Linked DNA regions of Sus scrofa. The protein of the gene in region 1 purifies or fractionates together with the protein of each later gene. This does not show direct contact. Links are inferred from orthologs where the notes say so. Each region holds a gene or a part of one and is shown in the gene's direction. Other genes may lie near its edges. The genes, in order: NCOA4 and FTH1.

Region 1 (11,648 bases):
CTTAGACGCCTTTAAAATTGTTGAGATTCTCCCTCTCTGGGAGGGGTGCAGAAGGCAGGGGCTGGTCCCATTGTCCCTCAAGATTTGTTCTGGTTGCATGACTTTGGGACCCCACTGATGATGCTACATGTATTATTTTAGAATGCCAGGATCTTAAAGGAGTCTCACACCCGCTGAACTCTGTGTGGAAGACTAAAGACTGTGAGGAGTGTACTTGTGGCCAAGATGCGATCAGCTGTTGCAACACGTAAGTCTCGAGCCAGCAGGGCCAAGAGGGGGAGGCAGCTGCTTTTGGGCCACCGTCTAAGGACAGCTATGCCCTCTTTCAAAATTCCATCCTGAACAGGCTTTAGTTTTCATTCCTATTTCTTTATCTTCTTTTAAAAAAATTGTGGTGGAATTCCCCTTGTGGCACAGTGGAAATGAATCTGACTAGTAACCATGGGGTCTTAGGTTCTATCACTGGCCTCACTCAGTGGGTTAAGGATCTGGCCTTCTGTGAGCTATGGTGTAGGTCGGCACTTGTATCTCCAATTTGACCCCTAGCTTGGGAACCTCCATATGCTGTGGGTGCAGCCCTAAAAAGAATCCCCCATTATATAGAATTAAGCACTTTATCCATTTTTAAAAGTAAAGTTCCAGTGGTATTAAGTACATTCACCAGTTTGTGCAACCATCTCCACTATCCATTTCCAAAACTGTTTCCTCTTCCCAATCTAAAACTCCATGTCCATTAAACAACTCTCCATCTCCTTCTCCCACCAGGCCCTGGCAACCACCATTCTACTCTCTGTCTCTATGAATTTGACAACCCCAGTGGAATTGTACAATATTTGTCCTTTTATGACTGGTATCAGGAAGAAAAAAAACTTTCCTCTTCCCTTCTAGGTTCTTCTAGGTAATTAGATGTTTACCCTGACATATACATGCAGCCACTTAGGTACAATTTATCTCTGGCAATAACTCTTTTCTGGGAAGAATCCTCAATTTAAATTCTTACTAGATAGTGGGCTGGTGGGCAGTAATTTCTTTTAAATCTGCAGGCTGTCTATTGCTTGTAGCTCAAAATAATGCTCATGCAAAAGTGGCACATTTTAGGGAGACTCATTCTGAATCCTCAGACTGGTATATTTCAGTATAATGTCCTCAAGGATCATCCAAGTTATAGCATGTCTCAGAATTTCCCTCCTTTTAAAGACTGAATAACATTTCATTTCACCGAATATATATACATATTTACGGTGAAATATGGTATACATATTACTGTGTATATATGTATGTATATAGTGAAATACTATGTATATATATATATAGTAAAACATTATTTTTGGAAATTTAGAGGATATGTAAATATGTATACACACACAGTGAAACATTTTTTGAAAATATACATTCATTGAAACACTATTCAGGAGTTACTGTCATGGCTCAGTGGAAATGAATCTGACTAGCATCCATGAGGACGCGGGTTCAATCCCTGGCCTTGCTCAGTGGGTTGAGGATCTGGTGTTGCCACAAACCGTGATGTAGGTCACAGATGCAGTTCGGATCCCGGGTTGCTATGGCTCTGGCGTCGGCCTGCGCTACAGCTCAGATTCAACCCCTAGCCTGGGAACCTTCATATGCTGCAGGTGTGGCCCTAAAAAGATAAAGAAAAAAAATTGATGCCTTCTCAATGCCAGCTATATGTCTCTTGAGCCTGGGACAGTAACTGACTCCTAGTTGGGGCCCAAAGAGCCCCTTCCCTCTTTCCTGTCATGTTTCCTTTCCTGCTTAGCACACTGCTCCACGCAGAGGAAATGTGCACATTTTCTGTACTGCTCAGAGCTGCCAGTTTCTTTCCCTCATAATTTCCTCATCACCTACCAAGTTTTTCTCATAATTTGTTTTTAACAATAGCCAAATACATTTTTTGGTTAAATTTTCTATGGGAGAATTTCTTAACCCATTGTACTCTCTTGGGGACACTGTTCAGATCTCAAGCTGCCCAGTGGCAATTGAGCCTGAGACTGGTGGCCCAGGTTGCTCTAGCCACCCACCCCAAGTACCCTGGGAAAGCTTCTTCCAGTCCTCCCTTTGGGATGAGGATTGAAAAGTCCTCTTTTGTTAAAGTAATCGAGGGTCACCTTTTGGAAGGAAGCATTTGTCACAAAGGGCCTTGGGATGGCTGTTCAGTGTATACTTTGGGGATGGACAATTTAATCTGGGTTTTATGGATGAGTTTCAGGGGGAAAGTGGAGCCGTAAAATTGTTTGCAGCCTTGAATGTGTGGGTTTATTTTCCTGGGGAGCTCGTTTTCAGTCTTCATCAGCTTCTCCTTGGGCTCTGTGGTCCCTACCTGGAGTGACTGAGCACATAAGGTCCCTATCTGGAGCTGAGCCAGCTCCTTCATGTCAGGGTTGGGACAACCAATTCTGTCCCATATTTAAGCAGTAGTACTGTTGGCTACCTCTTGAGCAGGGAAAGTAAGAAGAGTCAGGCTGGAGCAAGCTGCCTGGCCTCAGAGGAGCTCAGACCTACTTCTGGGCCTGTCAGAACTTGCCACAGTCCTGTGTGTGCAGGGGTGGAATATAGCAATAATGTCTGGGAGGTCTGTGTTCATAGCCCTGGTTATCTGTATTTGGATGCAGGGTCCTGAAGGTGGTACCTTGGGGTGCCAGTCAAGGGGTGACCTTTAGTTGGTGGGGGGCATTCCAGGGACCTAGACTGTGGGCTGCTTCCAGCACAGAGCTGGCCCTGGGAAGGCTGGGCATCCTATTCCTTCTAACAGTTCTTATTCTTGTCTCAATGACAGTGCTGCCATACCTACGGGTTATGACACAAATAAGTGTCAGAAAATCTTGAACAAGAAGACCTGCACCTATACAGTGGTGGAAAAGAAGGACCCAGGAAAGACCTGTGATGTCACTGGATGGGTATTATAATGTGTTTCTAGTGGGCCCAGAGCTCTCAGCCTGAGAGGGCCCAAGTTCTCCCATGCCAGGCCTCATTCTCCTATGGCCTCTAACTGTCTATGATTGTACAACCCTACCTATTAGTAAAAAATTCTTGAGCAAACACTTGAATATGTCTGTACTTTTAATTTATAAATTATGTATGCATTTATATAACACACCTTTAAAGCATGCAAACATTTTAAAGGAGACAAAAATAAATGTGAATGAAAGATATAACATCTTCCCTCCACGCCAGTAGATCACTGAGCATCCCCTACTCAGAGGGCTGCTGTTACTTCTCTCGCTTCTGATATATCTTCACTCTGATGCCCCAGCATCCCATTATTTGGTGAACAATTCAAAAAAATGGGTCTTTGAGATGAAATCAGATCCTTTATTTTCTTTGAGGTTTTCTTTTTTACCCTTCCTTTTTGTTCTTCAGAGAGTGTCCTCCTTGCTGTGTCCCTCATATACATCTGTGTTTGCCTGAGGTTAGAGCAGGACAACCTGGAAGAAGTGCCTCCAAGAGCACATACAGCCCAATGGGGTGTTAAAAAGCCAGGGATCTTGCCTTGTGGATGGGAAACGGCTTGCAGGCAGAGCTCTGTAATGGTTTTTAAAATTTAGGGAGTTAAAACAGTGACAACGCTGATCATCTCGTGCTCTTTCTGTGTTAGAGAACGTTTGTTCACTGAAGAGGTCTTTACTAAGTGCCTGGCAGTGCTTTGGGCCTGGGGATACAGTACTGAACCAGAGAGACCAGGTCTCTGCTCTCCTGAAGCTTAGAGTTGTGTGTGTGTGTGTATGTGACAGATCACAAACAAGCAAACAGTTCTCTGTTGGACAATCTGTGGGCAATCGGTAAAGAGATTTTACTTCCCCTCTGCCCGATAACCCTACCTATGCAAACATGCTATGTGGGCTAGTTGAACAATCTAGGCATATCCTGGATTTTGGTCACCCTAAGATAATAAAAATGCACCTTTGGCGTTTCCGTCATGGCTCAGTGGTAACAAACCTGACTATTGTCCATGAGGTTCGATTCCTGGCCTCGCTCAGTGGGTTAAGGATCCATTGTGGCCATGAGCTGTGGTGTGGGTCGCAGATGCGGCTCAGATCCTGCGTTGCTGTGGCTGTGATGTAGGCCCGCAGCTGCAGCTCTGATTCAACCCTTAGCCTGGGAACTTCCACATGCCACAAGTGTGGTCCTAGAAAGCAAAAAAAAAAAAAAAAAAAAAAAAGTCGCCTTGTTCCAGAATCTGCATTTGAATTGAAGAAGGAATGAGGAACAGGAGCTTTAAAAGTATGCTATGCCTATGACTGCCCTTTTAGCGTGTGCATCTAAACCTATGTTTCCTATTGCTTTTTGCTGAGAGAGCCTTGCCCGCTGATGTTCTTGGGTGAGAGGCTGCACTTTTATGATCATCTCCTTCACAAATCCTACTCAGATGGTCTTTCACCTTGCTGGGTAGCACTTAGTTAGTAATGGGAACCTCTGTCAAAACTGGGACAGAAAGGTTCTTATTTTAATATCTGGTCACTACATATATATAACCATTTTAACCATTTTTACGTATACAGTTGAGTGGTACTAAGTACATTCGAATTGCTGTGTGACTATCCATACCCAGAACTTCCCATCATCCCAAGCTAAAAGTCTGTACCCATTAAACAATAATTCCTCTTCCCCAAGCCTGTGGCAACTACTATTTTGTCTCTATAACTATGACTATTCTAAGTACCTCATATAAACGGAATCATCTATTTGTCCTTTTGTTTCTGACATTTACTTCTGCATATGTACGTTAAGGCTAAAAAAATATCTACATCGTGAGGACATTTGGTGTGAGAGAATCACTCAGGATAGTCCTCCTAACAGCTTGCCTTCACAAACGTTTCTCTCCTTTAATCTTATTCTTTGGGGCCCAGGAAAATGTATGCGCCTACCCCCTGCGCCCTGTGGAGGGCAGGCAAGGACCTTGGGCAGACCCTAGTAGAGATCTCGCGAGACTGTCAAATTTGTGATAAGAGACTTGAGAAGAAGGTTGTGTTCTCGCGAGAACTCTGCCTTTCAGACCTTGGCTCGTGTTGGGCCGCGTCTCAGTCCGCCAAGGTCTCCTCGGATCGCCGGGAGCCGCGCTCAGAGGTGGTAAGAACCGGAGGGGGGCCCCGGGGCGAGCTTGCCTCCTACCGCTCTCACGTGGCGGGTCGGTTTGGGGAGCCATGACTGCTTGTTGGACCAGCCCGGCCCTGTCTGGGCCTACCTTTAAAGGCTGGCCTCTCCTTAGACCCGCCCGACCCGGGGGCCACGTCTTCTTGCCTGCCCGCCGGCCAGGGCCTGTTCTCTCCCCGGCCCTCGCCTCTCTTGGCCCGAGGACCACTTCTTTCTCCCTTCCCGGCCCCGGCCTGTCCTCCGCCTCTTCGGCCTTAGACAAGCTGGCCTGGGGACCACCTCCCCCTGCTTGTCCGCCCGCCTTCCCCCCCGCGCCCCGGGTGTGACAGCTTCAGGTTTTTGCTCGCTCTCGCCTGGGTCTTTTGGAGAGGGGAGAGGCCCATTTTCCAGAACATAGCCTGTTGGGTGGGAGCTCAAAGAAGATAATATTTTTTTCGGCCCTCTACCTGCCAACACAGTGTTTTACTGTAAGGTGAATGTAATTCGCCCAACAATACCAAGAGGTAGCTTGATTACCTCCTTTTTATAGCTGAGAAGAGCGAGGCTTGCCAGTTCCACCAACAGTCACTTATAGTGTGCCTATATGTTCAGGATGTTGAGGATATGGCAATGAAAAAAGAGTGGGCACAGACCTTATTCTCATGGAAATAAATTCTTGTAGCAGAAACAATATTCATAAATAGTCTTAAGTGCCACATGATACAACATGGGATGATGCGATCAAGAATGGCCAAAGGCAGAGAGCTGCAGGCTATTTGACCCACAAAGGCAGAGCTTTTTTCGCCTTTTTGTGTTTTTTTTTTTTTTTCCTAATCAGGGTAAGGTTCCCCATCGCGTAACTGTTTCCACCGCCCACCTGATAATACGGACATATGGTTGTAGGGACTGTTGAGCCTTACTGGGTTAGGATGGGGCAGGAAATCATAATTGGTTCATTTCTGCAAAAATGTCTTGGTGTGACATTTCTGAACTTTAAAAAACCTCGGAGCCTTTGAGGAAGACTCACCCAAATGGAGGTGAGGGTGTGGTGCATGTGCCTTCAGGCAAGTTACTTGGTTGCTCTTTCAAAGTTTGCTAGCTTGCAGATTTGTTAAGTAGGTATGATGATATATGTAAAGGCTAGCACAGTAACATTTCTTACATTTTATTTCTCCTTCCCCTTTCTCTATGGAACTTTTGTGAAAATGATCTAAAGTTTTATGATACTGTATTTTGTGTCTAAATAAACTTCTACAGTTACATTACAGGTATTTCAAAAGTGGAGAAGTATGGTAAGCTATGTAGGGAAAGGAAGATGTGATTCTCAAAGAGGGAGAAGAGTTCTTATTTTAGAATTACATAAGGCTCCCTGCCTCACCCCCATTTTATTAAGATTAAGTCAGTTTAGCTGTGCCAGAATCTCAGAAACCTGTGGAGGGGCTTCATAAAACTGCACAGGCTATTCTGATAACACGTTCCTCCACCCCAGCTTCTTAGCTAGTGTTGTATGATAATTTCCCTTGTAGAGTAAGTGTTAGCATACTGGAGGGCAGTCAGAACCAGTCATTGTTGCAGAAGGACTTCTAAATCTGTCTCTTATTTCAAAGTTTCCTTTTTTTTCTTAGTTTTTGGTGAATCAGTGGCACAAATTTTCCTCTAGATGCTTATATCCTCAGGGACTATCACAGTATGAGGCACTCAGTAAATATTTGTTGAATGAATGCCTAAAATCTTAGTACTTAAATGATCCCTTCAACAAACATAGTGTGGTTGGAGACTTTAGACTCAAATCTAGGATTAAATCTTGCTTCTTTTACTTGGAAGCCTGTGACTCTAAGTAATATATCTAACCTTGTCAAGCCGTAGTTTCTTTGTTTTTAAAATTGTGATGGATAATGTATAAGTACCTTAAAGTTTTGTGAGGACTAAATGAGATAATGTGTAAAAATAAAAGTTTGGCACATAGATATATTAAATACTTCCTGAATTCATTTTTCCAACAAATATTTACTGAACACCACTGTATAAAAATGAATACAAAGAGGAATTCCTTGTGTGGCTCAGCAGTTAACAAACCCCATTAGCATCCATGAGGACTCGGGTTTGATCCCTGGCCTCACTCAGTGGGTTAAGGATCTGCTGTTGCCGTGAGCTGTGGTATAGGTTGCAGACGCAGCTTGGATCCTGAGTTGCTGTGGCTGTGATGTAGGCCGGCTGCTACAGCTCCGACCGGTCCCCAGTCTGGGAACCTCCCCATATGCTGCGGGTGCAGCCCTAAAAAGACAAAAAAATTAAAAGGCCAAAAAATAAAAATAAAAATGAACAAAAAGAGAAAGTCCAACTTGTGTGGAACATACCTTCCAGTGTGTTTTCTGAAGTGCGTTTAGAAAAATAGATAGTTTCTACATGTCTGATTGTGAAAAATACTATGAAGGTAGTTAAAAAATATATTAAGGGGGAATATGTGGAAGGAAGACTTATTTCATATGGGATAGTGAAGAAGATTACTCTAAGGATGAGAAGGAGAGTGCACCATATCTGGAGGAAAATGCCAGGGCCATGAGGCATCATTGGTATGTTGGAGGAGCAGCAAAGAGGCCATTGTGACTGGACTGAGTGAGCATAGGAGAGGAGGAGTGGGCAGCAGTAATGAAGTTTCTGCAGGAACACTGGAGAGAGATGAGGGTGACTTATTTCACTGATGAACTACCTAAAATGTCTTGCTTTATTATCATACCCCATTCTCTTATCAAAAGTAATGAAAATAGCTAATATCTATATCTCTTACTGTGTGTCAGGCACTATTGTAAGTGGTTTGCATATATTAATCTTTGACTCTTTCCAGAAAACTATACTCAGACTCAGAGAACAAGAACTTGTCACTATGCAGGATACACAGTGGAATGTACTACTGGAATGGAGAGCACTTTCTCAGTGTTACTGAAGTCAGTGAACTCTGTCCCTGGATACAAACTGGTTAGGTTGCAAGTCTAAAGTGATTATAATAAGAGACCAACCAACATATATGTATTAGGTTAAGTTCAGTTAACTGAAGGAACTGTAGATTCTAGATTCTATGGGAGTTTTATTACTTTTTTTTTTTTTTTTTTGGTCTTTTTTTTGGGGGCTGCACCCTCGGCATATGGAAGTTCCCATGCTAAGGGTCGAATCAGAGCTGTAGCTGCTGGCCTACACCACAGCCACAGCAACTCCAGAACCTAGCTGTGTCTGCAACCTACACCACAGCTCATGGCAACACCGGATCCTTAACCTACTGAGCCAGGTCATAGATTGAACCTGCGTCCTTCCTCGTGGATATTAGTCAGATTCGTTTCTCCTGAGCCAGGACGGGGAACCTTAGTTTTATTACTCTTAATGCTACTTTTTTGGTCCTCTTAAAACTTTATTCTGGGTTTTCATTTTGGCTTTGTTTTCAGTATTTGTGTGTCTAAGTACACTATTGCAACATAGAAGACAGGAACAAGCAGATGGCCTAGGCTGATAGGGGACCAAGCTGACCACTTTTGCTCTGATGAATTGCTTTAATAGTGTTTCTATACTTGTCAGTTAGAGGAGCTGCCATATAGTCCTTCTCAGCTTGTCCTCTTTGCTTGTTAAATTGTAACATTATAGTCAAGTTTACAAACTTTCCACCTTGCCTATAATACCTCAGATCCTGGGGTGTCATCCTCACTCTTTGAACTAGATAGAGTCACTGGCAAGTAAACAGAAAGTTATTCTGAGGGTGTTCATTTTACTTAGCTTCTGATACGAACGCTTCATTCTAACTCTCTTAGCCATTCTTATCCTAAGTCATCATCCCTGATTTTGCTTGGCTTCATTATGCAGTAGAATCAAGATGTTCTTTGAGGCTAGGAGTATGTTTGGGGGGCACTTTTCTCTTTTTGGCCATGCCTGTGACATGCACAAGTTCCTGGACTAGGTGTTGAACCCACAGCACAGCAGTAAATAGCCACAGCAGTGACAGCACCAGCTCTTTAACCCTCTGAGCCACCAGGGAACTCCCTGGGGGCACTTTTGAGGCCAAATAGTCCTCTTATCTAGCATTGCCTCGAGTGCTCTACAAACGTGAAGATTTGTTCAGTGAAGGAGTGAGTAACTGGAAAAATAGATTAAAAGGTTTTTATTGTGGGTTGATCAAAGACAAGAAGTATTTTCATACTTGGGTAATTAAAAATTTCATAAGAATATGATCTTGGGGATATTTTGAGTTTCATTTTGGCTTTATTATTAGTCCCCTAGGCTTTAGAGGAGGGGAAATATTTTATCACTTGCTTACTCCTATGGGGGAAAACTACAAGATGCTTACCATATAAAGTCAAGAATAAAATATTACTGTGGTGGTAGATAAATAACATGTTTATGTAACCTTGGCTGTATTATGAAGAAGTGTCAAGTTGAAGATAAGGCATAGCCCAAGTTATGAAAGCCTACCAGACTTCTGTAATGTCAGCTGGAATTTCTGTGGTACTGCAAACTCTGAGGGAAAAAAAATCCAGACTTGGCTGTAAATACAGTTAATGTTTCCCTTTTAACTCACAAATCAGCTGCTGTTTGTGAATCTGTATCGATGAGCTTTGATGGGTCTGGCTTCAGGAAAGACACTATCTCAATGCCTGTCCTGGAATGGTAGTTTCAGTAGCAATATCCTTGCTAGCTTTATCTTTGAAAGAAAACTATAAGTTACAGTTAATGTTAGAAACATTTCCACCTCTGAAAAACCTTTCTGAATTAATGCAGACCTTAGTGGAACATCAAGTTGATTACTTACATTTGAAGCAGAACCATACTATCCTTATTGTGGCTGGTCTGAACTTGAGCATTCATTTATCATTTATTCATCCATCCATTTATCAAACACATATTAAGCCTCTGGTGAGTTGAGGGCTACAGCACTGCACAGCTCCAGGGATGCCATTCTCTTTATGTCAGTTCAGTAGAGTGCATAGAATGTCAAGGAGGTTGGTAGTTCCAAGATACCTGTACCTGTTTGTTGAGCACTAGGGTGTACATAGGCAAATAATGCATGGTTGGTTCTCTCTGGGACCTCTCAGGCTAAGGAGGCAGACATGTAAAGTGAGGGTAACATATGTTATACACGTATGCTGGAAACTTATACAGATTACAGTGAGGCCAGAGGAGGCAGCAGCTAACTCTATTTGCCCAAAGTATTGAGGAGTGAGATGCTTGGTCAGGAAAGGCTTAATAATGTGGTGACTTAAGCATCGGTGGAAAAGCAGACAGGTGGGGAGAAGGGAAGGAACTGGCATTGCTGGCAGAGAGAGCTGGGAAAGCCAAGGTGGACATGGCGAACCAGCCTGGACTATGCATGGAACAGCTGTCCAGAAGATCACGGTATGGGGTTGCTCTGAGGAAATAGCAAGAGAGCAGGCTGAAGCCAGAAGCCAGACAACTTTATTTTTTTTTTAATTTTTTTATTTTTTTGTCTTTTATTGCCATTTCTTAGGCCACTCCTGCGGCATAAGGAGGTTCCCAGGCTAAGGGTTTAATCGGAGCTGTAGCTGCCAGCCTACGCCAGAGCCACAGCAATGTGGGATCCGAGCTGCATCGGTGACCTACACAGCTCACGGCAACGCTGGATCGTTAACCCACTGAGCAAGGGCAGGGATCGAACCCGCAACCTCATTGTTCCTAGTCGGATTCGTTAACCCCTGCGCCATGACGAGAACTCTGTAGACAACTTTATTTATTAAAGAAATTTATTTGGACTTGTAGACAGGTGGGGAGACACTGGAGAATTGTAGTTTATGCTGTCTTTAGATGAGATGATCTACTAATCTACTAGGAAATGGATGATTCTCTTGTTTTGAGATAGCATAGAAATCTTTTTTTTTTTTTTTTTTTTTTTGTCTTTTTGCTATTTCTTGGGCCGCTCCCGCGGCATATGGAGGTTCCCAGGCTAGGGGTCTAATCGGGGCTGTAGCCACCGGCCTACACCACATCCACAGCAGTGCGGGATCCGAGCTGCGTCTGCAACCTACACCACAGCTCACGGCAACGCCGGATCGTTAACCCACTGAGCAAGGGCAGGGACCGAACCTGCAACCTCATGGTTCCTAGTCGGATTCGTTAACCACTGCACCACGACGGGAACTCCAGCACAGAAATCTTGAAGCAGAAGAGAGGTAAAATGCCATATGACTTTTTCCCTCTTTAGAAACTAAACTTTTCATAAAATTGTAAGGGCAAATAATGGAACTTAAGGGAGTAAAGAAGTGCCTGCAAAGTGGTCTGAATGCAGAATTCTTCTAGATTTTTATGATTTTTTCCCCTTTCCAGTCTTTTTATGTTTATACATTATTTAATAAATCATGTCATTATAGTAACAGCTAAAGCTGTCATAAACTGACGGAATAACACTGAATCTCAGTAACTGTATAAATTAGTTCAAGTGAAGGAGAGCTGGAGCATTTAGCGTGCTGTGGCACTGGTCAGGATCCTTTAGAGAGGACATAGAGACCACTGGTTATATATAGGTGATGGTCAACAAAGTTCTTTCTCAGTTTACATTGTGACTA
Region 2 (11,438 bases), on another chromosome or scaffold:
AGAACTTACTAGAGACTGCCTTAATGTATTCATATATTTTAACAGTGTGACAGCCATGCCCTTGATTTGGTCCTTACCCTGAGGCTTCACCTTAATCAGCCTTTGTTACTCAAAAGTATTTCTTGTTTGTTTGTTCGTTTGTTTTTTGGCTGCGCCCACGGTATGCAGAAATTCCCAGGCCAGGAGTCTAAACTTGCACCACAGCAGTGACAACACGGGATCTGTAACAGGCTGAGCCATGAGGGAACTCCCTCAAAATATTTCCGGATTTTATTTTTTACTGGTTGAAAAAGACCAAGTGTTCTAACTTCAATACAAGTCCCAGAAATTTTGGATTCCCTCTTTTCCTCTTCTTTCCACTTGCAAAGAGGCCAGTTCTGTTTTAAATTCATTTCTTTCCTGTAATCAAATGCACCTAATAACCACGGTGCTCTAGTACGTTCCGCTTTGCAATGTGTTACCTTTCGGAGCTCTTTCAGGAATCACAGTGTCATTGATATTCTTTGCTTTGGCAAATGGTTTATATTCTGAAGACTTGGCCTTTTTTCTTCCAGCCAGTTCTATAGTTGGTTCTTTGTGTTTGGGCATCGTCTCCAGGGAGGTGCGTGTGTTGGCGGGGACGGGCTGGGGGGGCGGGTAGGGGTCACTCTGGCTCCCCCGCAGCCCAAAGTCTCCCACCCTCCGTGTTGCCAAACCGATCATTCACCATGATTTTTCATTTTTAAGTAATCACATCCGCCAACTGCCTTCTTTTTATGGCTTTTGACAGCCTCAGAAGAATACTCGTTACCCCACTGTTCTAAAAGGTAATCTTATACATAGCCTTCGAATAACTTTATAGGTTGTTTTTAAGGCTTGGACCTTTAATCCCTCTGAAAGGTATTTTGAAATACAGAGTGAGTCATCTTCCCCCACATGACTCAATTGTTTCAACACCATTTGTTGAATGTTTTTTCTCTCCTAATTTGAAATGCCACTTTAGCAGACCAAGTTCCTGTTCTTATGGGGGTTAGACCATTTAGTTGCATTGATTTACTGAGCTCTTCCTACACCAGTACCAATGAAATATTTTATTTTATTTGGTCTTTTCTAGGATCTCACCCTTGGCATATGGCGGTTCCCAGGCTAGGGGTCGAATCAGAGCTGTAGCCCCCGGCCTACACCAGAGCCACAGCAACATGGGATCCGAGCTGCGTCTGCGATCTACACCACAGCTCACAGCAACGCCGGATCCCTAACCCACTGAGCGAGGCCAGGGATCGAACCTGCAACCTCATGGTTCTTAGTGGGATTCGTTAACCACTGAGCCACGACAGGAACTCCATACCAAGTAAATATTTTATACTACTTTTTTTTTTTTTAGTATCAGGGAGGGCAAATCTACCCTCATAACCCCCCCCCCATGCTTATCAGCTTTTCTACACACTCTTCCAAGTGAACCTCAGAGTCATTTTGTCAAATTGCAGAAAGACCACTGAGTTTTACAGAAACTGCCCTGAATTTACAGGTTGGTGTGGGAAGTCTTTCCCAAACTGAGATTGGCCATCTAGAAACATGGCGTCTCTTCATTTATGCAAGTTATTCTGTCCAGCAATAAACACGGTTTTCTTCACACACTTCTTGTTAACTTGATCCCTGGGTACTTTAAGCTTTTGTTGTCAATGGAAATGAAAGCCATTTTTCTCTTTCACTATGTTTTCTAACTTCTAGTTACTGTTACATAGGAAAACTTTGCATCTGGTGACTCTGTCATAATCTTATCCCAAAAGTTTTTCTGTTGATTCAGTGTAAGGTTTCTAAAAACAAAACATAGTATTTCTCCAGCTAGAAATCCTTTCTTTCCTTGTCTCTTTTTTCCTTTTGGCCATGCCTGTTGCCTGTGGAAGTTCCAGGGCCAGGGATCCAACCCACGCCACAGCAGTGACAACACCAGGTCCTTAACCTGCTGTGCCACAAGAGAACTCCTAGATATTCTTTAGAGCTTCCATGTTCAGGATAAAGTTAAACCCCTTTTTTGGGCCCCCAACCCTTCCTGATCTTGCCGCATGCTACCCTTCCAGACTTCTCCAATAGGGACTGTAGTTTCAGGCCAACACATTTTCTTTCTGTCTGTCTGTCTATCTTTTTAGGGCCACACGTACAGCACGTGGAGGTTCCCGGGCTAGGGGTCCAATCGGAGCTACAGCCGCCAGCCTACACCCCAGCCACAGCAACTTGGGATCTGAGCCGCATTTGCAAACTAGACCATGGCTCATGGCAAAACCAGATCCTTAACCCACTGAGCAAGGCCAAGGATTGAACCCACAACCTCATGGTTCCTAGTCGGATTCGTTAGCCATTGCACCAAAACGGGAACTCCTCAAATGTCACTCTCTTTAGGGCAGCCTTCCTTGAACTCCTATCCCAGACTGGGTAAGGCACCCTTGGTATTCACCCATCATCCTTCTTAATTTCTTGTCTGCAGCCCTAGCCCCATTAAAATTTTTTTTCCTTAAGTAACATATGTACATTTGAAATGAATAAAGACCCAAGAGAAATCGCTGTAATTCCACCAGCAACTTGTTTTCCTATTTTAGTAAAGTTCCTTTAATTTTTTGTTGTAAAGCTTTTAGAAGTACAGCTTACAGTTGGACATTTGTGAATATCCTGAAAAGGGTCTTGGGTAGGTCCCCTACCCACGTGTTGAAGGGCCTGATTAAGAATCGTGGACCCTGGGGGCAGCAGATTGGGTCTGCCTAGCTCCAGTTCTGCCACCCACGAATTCGCACCCACTCAGTGCCAGGGACACTGCTGCAAGCCACACACAGTGCCCCAGCCACTCCACGTTCTCTGGCATCTGTCCTTCATGTTCCGCGCCTTCAGCTTCTCTCCAAGGACAACCCAGGGGGTGGCTCCCTGTAGAACCGCCTGAGCCTGAAGCTCCTGGGGCTTGATCGGCCATTTCAAAATGGCCTCACAGCATCCTTTTCAGATTCAAGCAGCTTCTTTCCTCCTTTTCTAACCCCCTTGGTCTCTGAGTTGTAAGCTACCGGCCGATTTTCTCAGAACCCTGGTGGCTCACGACTCCCTCGGGAAGGCAGTCTTTCGGGGAAACACGACCCGCCCAGCCTTTGTTGTAGCAACTGCACGAGGAGCCACGTACACTTTCGGCCAAAGCCGGACCGGGCCACCAGAGCTGGAGGAGGCCCGACCCCACCTGCTTTGGGCCCCTTCCTAGGTTTTGAGGAATTGAAAGAGGGCCCTTTCCCCGCCCGACCTCTGCCTCACTCCGGGCCCACGTTCACTCTCCGGGTTCCCTATTTGCATTACCAGGCACCTCGGAGTGTGGCAACTGCAGCTCTACCGCTCTGATTTTTAACATGACCTTGGCCATAAGTCTCGGGGTGCCCGCTTGGGCTCTTGCAAGAGCCTCGACGCCCCAGGGAAGGTTTCCCGTCGGTTGCAAAACCCAGGCTGTCAGAGCCCCGAGAGTCATAGAGTCACAGCCCCGAGCTGGACTTCCTGCCCTTGCTCAGGTCGTCTCTCTCATCCCACGAAACGCACCTCAAGGCGTCTGCGCGGGACGGGGTTCCAAGACTCCCAGGCTTCGCCACCCCACCCCTTCCCTCCCCTCCCCCACCATCCCAGTGCGCCTCCCCCCACCCCCGCCCGCACCCACCGGAAGGGGCGGGGCTCCGCGCGGCGGGCAGGCGGCGTGATTGGCCGCGGCGGGGCGGACGGCCGATGCCGATATAAGAGCCGGGCCAGCGCTACCTGCGCCACAGTCTTCGCGGAGAGTCGCTGCGGTTTCCTGCTTCAACAGTGCTTGGACGGAACCCGGCGCTCGTCACCCGCCCCGGCCGGCCGCTCAGAGCCAGCCCTCGCCACCTCTTCACAGCGCCCTCGGACCGCCCCAAGGCCACCGCCACCGCTCCCGCGCCGCTGCCGCCACCACCGCTCCTCAGCCTCCCGCCATGACGACCTCGTGCTCCTCGCAGGTGCGCCAGAACTACCACCAGGACTCGGAGGCGGCCATCAACCGCCAGATCAACCTGGAGCTCTATGCCTCCTACGTCTACCTGTCCATGGTAAGCGCAGGCTTGGCCGGCGGGGGGCGGGCTCGGCCTCGGAGGCGGCGGGGCGGGGTGTGGCTAGCGGGCGGGGCCTCCCGCCTCCCGCCTCTGCGCGGTTCTGGAAAATGGAGGCTGCTCCGGGTCCCCCAGGACTTCGCAGAAATTCCGAGGAGTCGGCCCTTTCCGACTGACCCCTGGGAGTGCCCCTTTGTAGGCCGACTGCCTCTGCCCGCCCACCCCCCTCCCCCCTCCCCCTTTTTTTTCCTTGCCGCGCTTGCTGCCAGTACCATCCTGCAGTTAGGAAGGTGGATTTTCGCATTTCCATTCCGTCCTCTGCATCCGATCACGTGATCCTGGGCGGAGGCGAAGAGGTCCTGCTCCCATCCCCCAGAATACGGCGGAGCCTGCTGGGTAATGGTGTCGAATAGCAGCCCTGGGGGCTGGTGTGAAGTGCTTTATCTCCAGTGGGCTGACCACCCGAACAGCCGTCTCCACCCGTTTGCTCTGCTTATCGCCAAGTCCCACTTGAATTGAAGCACATCTCTAGAAATCTCTCCTTCCGCCACAGTTGTCTTAGTCACCCGTCCTTGCGCCTGACTACCTCCTCCTTTATTCTTTTTGTCTAAAGGTTGGGGCCTAATCGAACCCTTCGTTCTTGGATAAAGTCCATCCACAGTTACAGGGCCGGCATTTTTTCCATAGAGGGGTCAGTTTTCCAAATTCCTGGTTTTAGGCGGTGTGGTAGGAGTTGTAGAATTGTCTGACCATTACGTAAACCATCCAAGAATAGGCAGGTACCAGATGGGTTTGGAACTGGCCTGGATTTCTATGACTGCCCTTCCATTTCAGGAACACCCAGCAAGGGTCTAAAAGAACCCAGTTTTGCTTTCTACTGTTATGCCTTTATATACATTGTTGCCCACAGCCGTCTACTTCCCTAGTGGGGTACTTTTAGAAATGCATCGGTCTGGCTGTAAGCTGGCAAGTTCATGTTTTAACATGGATTAATCAAGGAGGGAGAAGGAGGAAGCACTAATAGTGCGGAGTAAATACTCCACTTTCCTCTCTTCGACCAGATGTGACACTGGCTGTAAGAATTTAACTTTGGAGTTCCTGCTGTGGCGCGATGGGGTTGGCGGTGTGTCTGGAGCGTTGGGACTTAGGTTCCATCCCTGGCCTGGCACAGTGGTTTTAGGGATCCAGCACTGCCACAACTCTCATGAGGGTCACAGCTGTGGCTCCCATCTGATCTCTGGCCCGGGAACTTCCTCAGACCAGAGGCGGCCAAAAAAGAAAAAAGAACTTTGCTCTAACACAGATCCTGAGGATGTTCCATGGTGGTGGCAAGTCCTGTGATATTCTAAATGCTCCTTGTGAACATTTTTCATTTTTGCCCTTAGGAGTGAGAACTAATGACTGTTTAGTTCGATGCAGCAACGCAGCCTGCTCTGATCTCCTTAGACCCAGACCCCTTCTTGCTGGGCTTTGAGAAAGGAAGCCTAGGCTCACAGACTCCTGTTTTCACTTTTCAGTCATACTATTTTGACCGCGATGATGTGGCTTTGAAGAACTTTGCCAAATACTTTCTTCATCAATCTCATGAGGAGAGGGAACATGCTGAGAAACTGATGAAGCTGCAGAACCAACGAGGTGGCCGAATCTTCCTTCAGGATATCAAGGTGAACAAAAGATTCCAGGGTTGTCGTGCCTGATGTGTCTGGCGCTCCTCAGGTGGCAGAAGGCACAGACCTGAGCAGTTGCTCTTATCAAGACGCAGATACGTTGGGCTTGTGGCTTGTGGCTTTTGTGCTGTTGTGGGCCTATCGTCTAAAGTGGGCAGATGGTAACGGGCAAGGATAGTAAAATAGAAACTGTTGTCGGGGAAGCTTGGATATTCCTTTCGCCAAGCACAGTGCTTACACGTTAGGTGCTTGCTGACTTGGGTTTAAAGGTAGAGGCTGCAGGTGCATTGACTTGGCTCCTTCTCGTTCAGAAACCGGAGCGCGATGACTGGGAGAATGGGCTGACTGCCATGGAATGTGCGCTGCACTTGGAAAAAAACGTGAATCAGTCCCTGCTGGAACTGCACAAACTGGCCACTGACAAAAATGACCCCCACGTGAGTATTGAGGCAACCTGGGAGGAGGAGGAGGAAGTCATTTACCTCGGGGCCTGGGAAGGCTCGCCAGTAACTCTCTTCCCCGTTGTCTTTTCCAGTTGTGTGACTTCATTGAGACGCATTACCTGGATGAGCAGGTGAAAGCCATCAAAGAATTGGGTGACCACATTACCAACTTGCACAGGATGGGGGCCCCCGAGTATGGCATGGCCGAGTATCTCTTTGACAAGCACACCCTGGGGAGCAGTGAGAGCTAAGCCCTAAGCTGGCCTCCCGGAGACACGGGGTGACCCCCCTGGTCACCAAAGCAGTGCATGCATGTTTCGGGTTACCGTCACCTTTTCTATAAGTCCTACCAGAACATCTACTTCAGTTCTTTCCTTAGTGTACCATTCCTTCAAATAAAGTAATTTGGTACCCAGCTGTTGTCTGAGTTCTTGGGATTGGCTAGAAATGTACCTAGGCCATCACTGGTAAATTCGTAAGTGCCATGGTTCAGTCACAAACAAAATGAAACGCTTAGGAGGATTTGTATCTATTTACTAATTAAATTCCTTAGTTTGGGAAAGACACCAAGGCTTGGGTGTGTTGGATTCAGACAGGATTTTAAGCACTCCTGGTTCTGAATTAGGTATTTGGTGTTACATGTTTCCAGCAGTTCTGCCTTTAAAAATTTATATGTACAAAAGGCATTTTAAAGCTTCAAGCAGTCTTGAAACTACTGATTTTTGTTCTCTGCGAAGCTGTTTGGTTCAGGCTGACAGGAACGTGTTCTTCAGTGTGGACAGCCACATGGCTATGACTGGATCAGTGTCCTGGTGTACACGCAGGTGGGACCAGGCCGGTGAAGCATCCCCCTTGGGAAACGGGCTAGGAGTGTGCTTCATCCCTAGTGAGAATTCAAGAAAATTGACATGAGCATGGAAAGGTAGCTTTGTTTCAATATAAAAACTGTTGCAGTAGGAGGGCAGAGGTGGAGGCATCTTGAGTATTAACCAGAGTGGTGGTGGGAGCCTACAGAGCCATCTGTGGCCTTGTCCACGGATCCCTAATAGCCTCTCCTAACCCAGCCAGTGTCCAGCCCTAGAAGCACGACAGGTGGTGGGTTTGTTTCAGTTTTCAATACAAAGCTGTGCATTCTGACCAGAGAATGACAGAATCTAGAAATAGCAAGTTACACTTCCTCCCACATTATGACTGGGGGTGAGGGTAGGGCTAAGAAAAAAGAACTTTGCTTTGCTCTAACACAGTTCCTTAGAATGTTCCATGGTGGAGGCATTTCCACGCGGGCCACCCCAAGAACCTCAAGGGGGCCAGGCTGGACTCACACATTGCATGAGTGTCCAGGGAACCTGCAACAAGGGGAAACGTGGTGGTACTGTCACAGCTTTGGATTGACCTAAAGGAAGCACGAAGAGCTCACTTAAATTCAGAAGTCTTTTTGGTGAGGTCTCAAAAGCAGTAACATACCCCCAAGAGACCTGGATGCCTCCACCCTACCTTGGGCCAGTTCCCAGGGGTGTGGTGGCCTCTGCAGGAGTGCTGGTGGTTGTTGGGGAGGGCTCACATGCAACCCCCCAGCTAGGCCTGGCCAGCAAGTTGAGTTCTTGGGCTACAGCCGGGAGCCCTCAATTCTGCCCATGTTCCTGTGTCTTTACCCCCTACTTTAAGTGAGCTGGGTCCACTTAAAATCCTGCCAATCTAAGCCTGGCCTGGTGGCCCTTCAGCTGCATTCCTGTCAGTGCAGCCTCTCATCATCCCAGAGAAGGCCTGGTGATGTCAGGATCCTGGGTGAGATGAGCCACAGTCCCCAGCGCTTCCCTGGGGCCCTTGCTGTGTGGCAGCCAGGTGTGTGCCCCAAGCCGGTGCTGGGCATAGGTCCCTAGCAGCTGCAGGACCACAGGAAGATCGTGGAAGAAAGGCAGGCTTCCCACCCATGGTGAACCCCGGGGGTTCAGTGACCTGGGTTCAGGGAGAGGACAGACCTGTTTTCCAAGGCCCAGTAGGGATCCCGGTGGTCTTTGATTATAGCGTGTATGCCCATCGGTGGCTCCAAATTCGGTTCTTTGAGATGTTCGGGGGCCTCCGACAGATCGGCCAGGTTAAACTCCACCGTCTTCCTCCTCACGTGACTCCCTTGTAGGGGCTCCGCCGAGGCCTCGGCGCTCTCTGGGAGCAACTCGAAACTCTTCTTGATGCTGGGAGTCGCAGGCTGAAGGCTCTGGTCTTTGGCAGCCTCATCTATGCCCGAGACTCTGCGAAGACCTAAGGGCGCTGACTCTTCGGGTGGGAAGACCATAGGGGTGTGGCCGAGGGTGTCTGTGGGCGCTGTGGTAACCCGGCCTCCCACACAGGGCAGCGGACTTGAAGCCACCCTCCCTCCAGGCCTTGCTGTCTTCCTGGTCGCTAGAGTCCAGCCTGGCCCCCCTGAGGTTCTTGGGGTGGCCCTCGTGGAAATGGCCTTCTTTCTTGGGCCACAGGAGTTTCGTCTTTGAGTTTGTCCTGGGGGGCTGGTGGTCGCTGGATTGCAGCCCCAGGAAGTGGCCAAGGATGCCGGTGTGCGCCTCCTCCTCCTCCTCCGGCTGGAACTCCATGTCCTCCTTACCCAGACTGGAAAGAAGCCAGGGGGTGAGTGGAGGGACAAAGGCCCAAGGCCTGACTCGACTTTCTTTGACCCCTTCTCATACTCTGCACCGTGCATGCAGAGTTGGGGCCTTGGGTTGCATTCCCACACTGAATTGCGTGTTTTGCGGGGACAAGGCCTCTGTGTTATTCTTCTGTTACCCACCCTCCCCAGCTGCTGGAGGACACACCATGGAGACTCAGAGGCGACCTCCAGAAATGTTTCTTTTTCTTTTTGTCTTTTTAGGGCCACTCCCGTGGCATATGGAGGTTCCCAGGCTAGGGGTCTTAATCGGAGCCTTAGCCACCGGCCTACGCCAGAGCCACAGCAACACCAGATCCGAGCCACGTCTGCAACCTACACCACAGCTCACAGCAACGCCGGATCCCCAACCCACTGAGCAAGACCAGGGATCGAACCCACAACCTCATGGTTCCTAGTCGGATTCCTTTCTGCTGTGCCATGACGGGAAGTCTCAGAAATGTTTCTGGCCCAAGCAGGCCCCCATCCTGACCCTCTGGTCATTTTTCCGAACCCTCCTCATACCAACGAGAGACTTGAGCTAATTCTAATTACAGCTTAAAAGGATGGTCGTTTCTTAGGACAGTGCTTTTAATACTCTGGAAGAAAACCTTGATGATATGGTGTCCTGACATGCAGCAAACACTCTCCAAAAGTCCGCTCTACTCTGTCATCCCGGGGAGAGAGAGAACTATCTGGGATGACCCTTTAGCCCACGGCAGCCCAGCTACAGCCCAAAAGAGATTCTGACTAAATCAGGGAAATCAGACCCATGTGCAGAAAAGTTTGGCTGCTGTGGGTGACCTGAGGCTGATACTCTGTAGCCCCGAGTTACTCTTTTTTTTTTTTTTAGGGCTGCACTCAGGGCATATGGAAGTTCCCAGGCTAGGAGTCCAGTTGGAGCTGAGCTGCCAGCCTACACCACAGCCACAGCAATGCCAGATCTGAGCTGTGTCTGTGATCTACACTGCAGCCACGCCAGATCCTTAACCCACTGAGCAAGACCAAGGGATCAAACCTGTGTCCTCATGGGTACTTGTTGGGTTCTTAACCCACCGAGCCACAACAGGAACTCCACACCAAGTCTACTTGGAATGCAGCTATGATGGCCCAGCCCCCTGCTTGTTCCCTTACCCTGGGAATTCCATTTTCACTCCCCATTCAAACACCTCAGCTTGTCAGAAAACAAAGTTCTTTCTTTTTTTTTTTTGTCTTTTGTCTTTTTTATGGCCACACCCGCAGTATATGGAGGTTCCCAGGCTAGGGGTCAAATTAGAGCTACAGCTGCTGGCCTACACCAGAGCCACGGCAACACCAGATCCAAGCCGCATCTTCGACCTACACTGCAGCTCATGGCAATGCAGGATCCTTAGCCCACTGAGCGAGGCCAGGGATTGAACCCGCAACCTCGTGATTCCTAGTTGGATTCATTTCCACTGCACCATGACGGGAACTCCAGAAAAAAGTTTCTCAACCCGAGACAGGAACCAGACCCTGACAGCCCAGCTGCATCATCTAGTCACTGACTGCCCTTGAGTAAGTCCCTTCGCTCTCTGAGCCTCAGTTTCCAACTCTGGACATGGGCAATTTAGACTGGAGTCACCTAAGGGCCCTCAGAGCTTTTAGAGTCCTTACCCAGTGCAGTGTGGTGTTGGGACCAGACATACCTGGTCCACCTGTGCTGGTTGCTAGCTATGTGACCTTGGGCACTGACTTGACCTCTCTGAACCTGGACTTAATTATCTGAAAACTGGCGATAACAAATCAAAGTTGTTGGAACAGAAAAAAAAATTAGCTAATGTATATAAAGAGCTTAGTATAATGCCCAGCACTTAGTAGGCATCCAGATGCATTAACCAGAGCTATTCTAGTACTTAGGCAGGCCCTGGCACTTGGGGTCCTCTACCCACTGAAGTGGCTCCCTGGCACTTCCCACCTGATATTGAAGGTGGAGCCGAAAAAGGAGGGTCGGCGAGACTGGGCAGAGGCAGCTGTGTAGGGGGGATGTGGTTCTGGATCATTCCAGTACATATCTCGCTCCATGGGTGGCAGGTCCTGGTGCATCTCATCTACAGCCAACAGGGACACCTGGTCATTGGCGACAGAAGGAGACGTCCGACAGAGAGGTCAGCCCGATCAAGACCGTGACCTTGCCAGGCGTCTGGGAAAGGTGACTTCTCTCTCTGGGCCTCAGATTCCCTTCTTCTTCTCCTTTTTTTTTTTTTTTTTCTTGTCTCTTTTTCTTTCTAGGGCTGCACCCGCAGCATATGGAGGTTCCCAGGCTATGGGGTCCAACTGGAGCTATAGCCGCCTGCCTGCACCAGAGCCACAGCAACGCCAGATCTTAGCCGTGTCTGCAACCTACACCACAGCTCACAGCAACGCTGGATCCTTAACCCACTGAGCGAGGCCAGGGATCAAACCCGTGTCTTCACGGATGCTAGTCGGGTTTGTTAACCACTGAGCCATGACGAGAACTCCAGATTCCCTTCTTTTGAAATGGAGAGACTGGTGCTCCCCGTAGCCTCAAATGTCAGGCTGAGAGTGCTATGAGTGAATGGCTGGGGGCCAGTTCACTGTGGGGCCTGGGTCTAGTGTGGGGAGGGGGCTGCTGGACAGGCTC

The links.
Region 2: the proteins of NCOA4 (region 1) and FTH1 purify together in Homo sapiens (co-immunoprecipitation; 6 studies listed by BioGRID and IntAct, counting the BioPlex papers as one, with this or other methods). This does not show direct contact. The link is inferred for Sus scrofa from reciprocal best matches to the Homo sapiens genes NCOA4 and FTH1.

What each region holds. Positions count from the first base shown.
Region 1 is NC_010456.5:90,524,509-90,536,156, reverse strand, and holds the start of NCOA4 (nuclear receptor coactivator 4), read left to right. Parts: upstream 1-4,854; 5' UTR 4,855-4,869; coding exon 4,870-5,085; intron 5,086-11,217; exon of another isoform or gene 11,218-11,648. UniProt on the Homo sapiens protein: Cargo receptor for the autophagic turnover of the iron-binding ferritin complex, playing a central role in iron homeostasis. Acts as an adapter for delivery of ferritin to lysosomes and autophagic degradation of ferritin, a process named ferritinophagy.
Region 2 is NC_010444.4:9,531,388-9,542,825, forward strand, and holds FTH1 (ferritin heavy chain), read left to right. Parts: upstream 1-3,663; 5' UTR 3,664-3,953; coding exon 3,954-4,067; intron 4,068-5,584; coding exon 5,585-5,731; intron 5,732-6,045; coding exon 6,046-6,171; intron 6,172-6,269; coding exon 6,270-6,428; 3' UTR 6,429-6,592; downstream 6,593-11,438. UniProt on the Homo sapiens protein: Stores iron in a soluble, non-toxic, readily available form. Important for iron homeostasis. Has ferroxidase activity. Iron is taken up in the ferrous form and deposited as ferric hydroxides after oxidation. Also plays a role in delivery of iron to cells.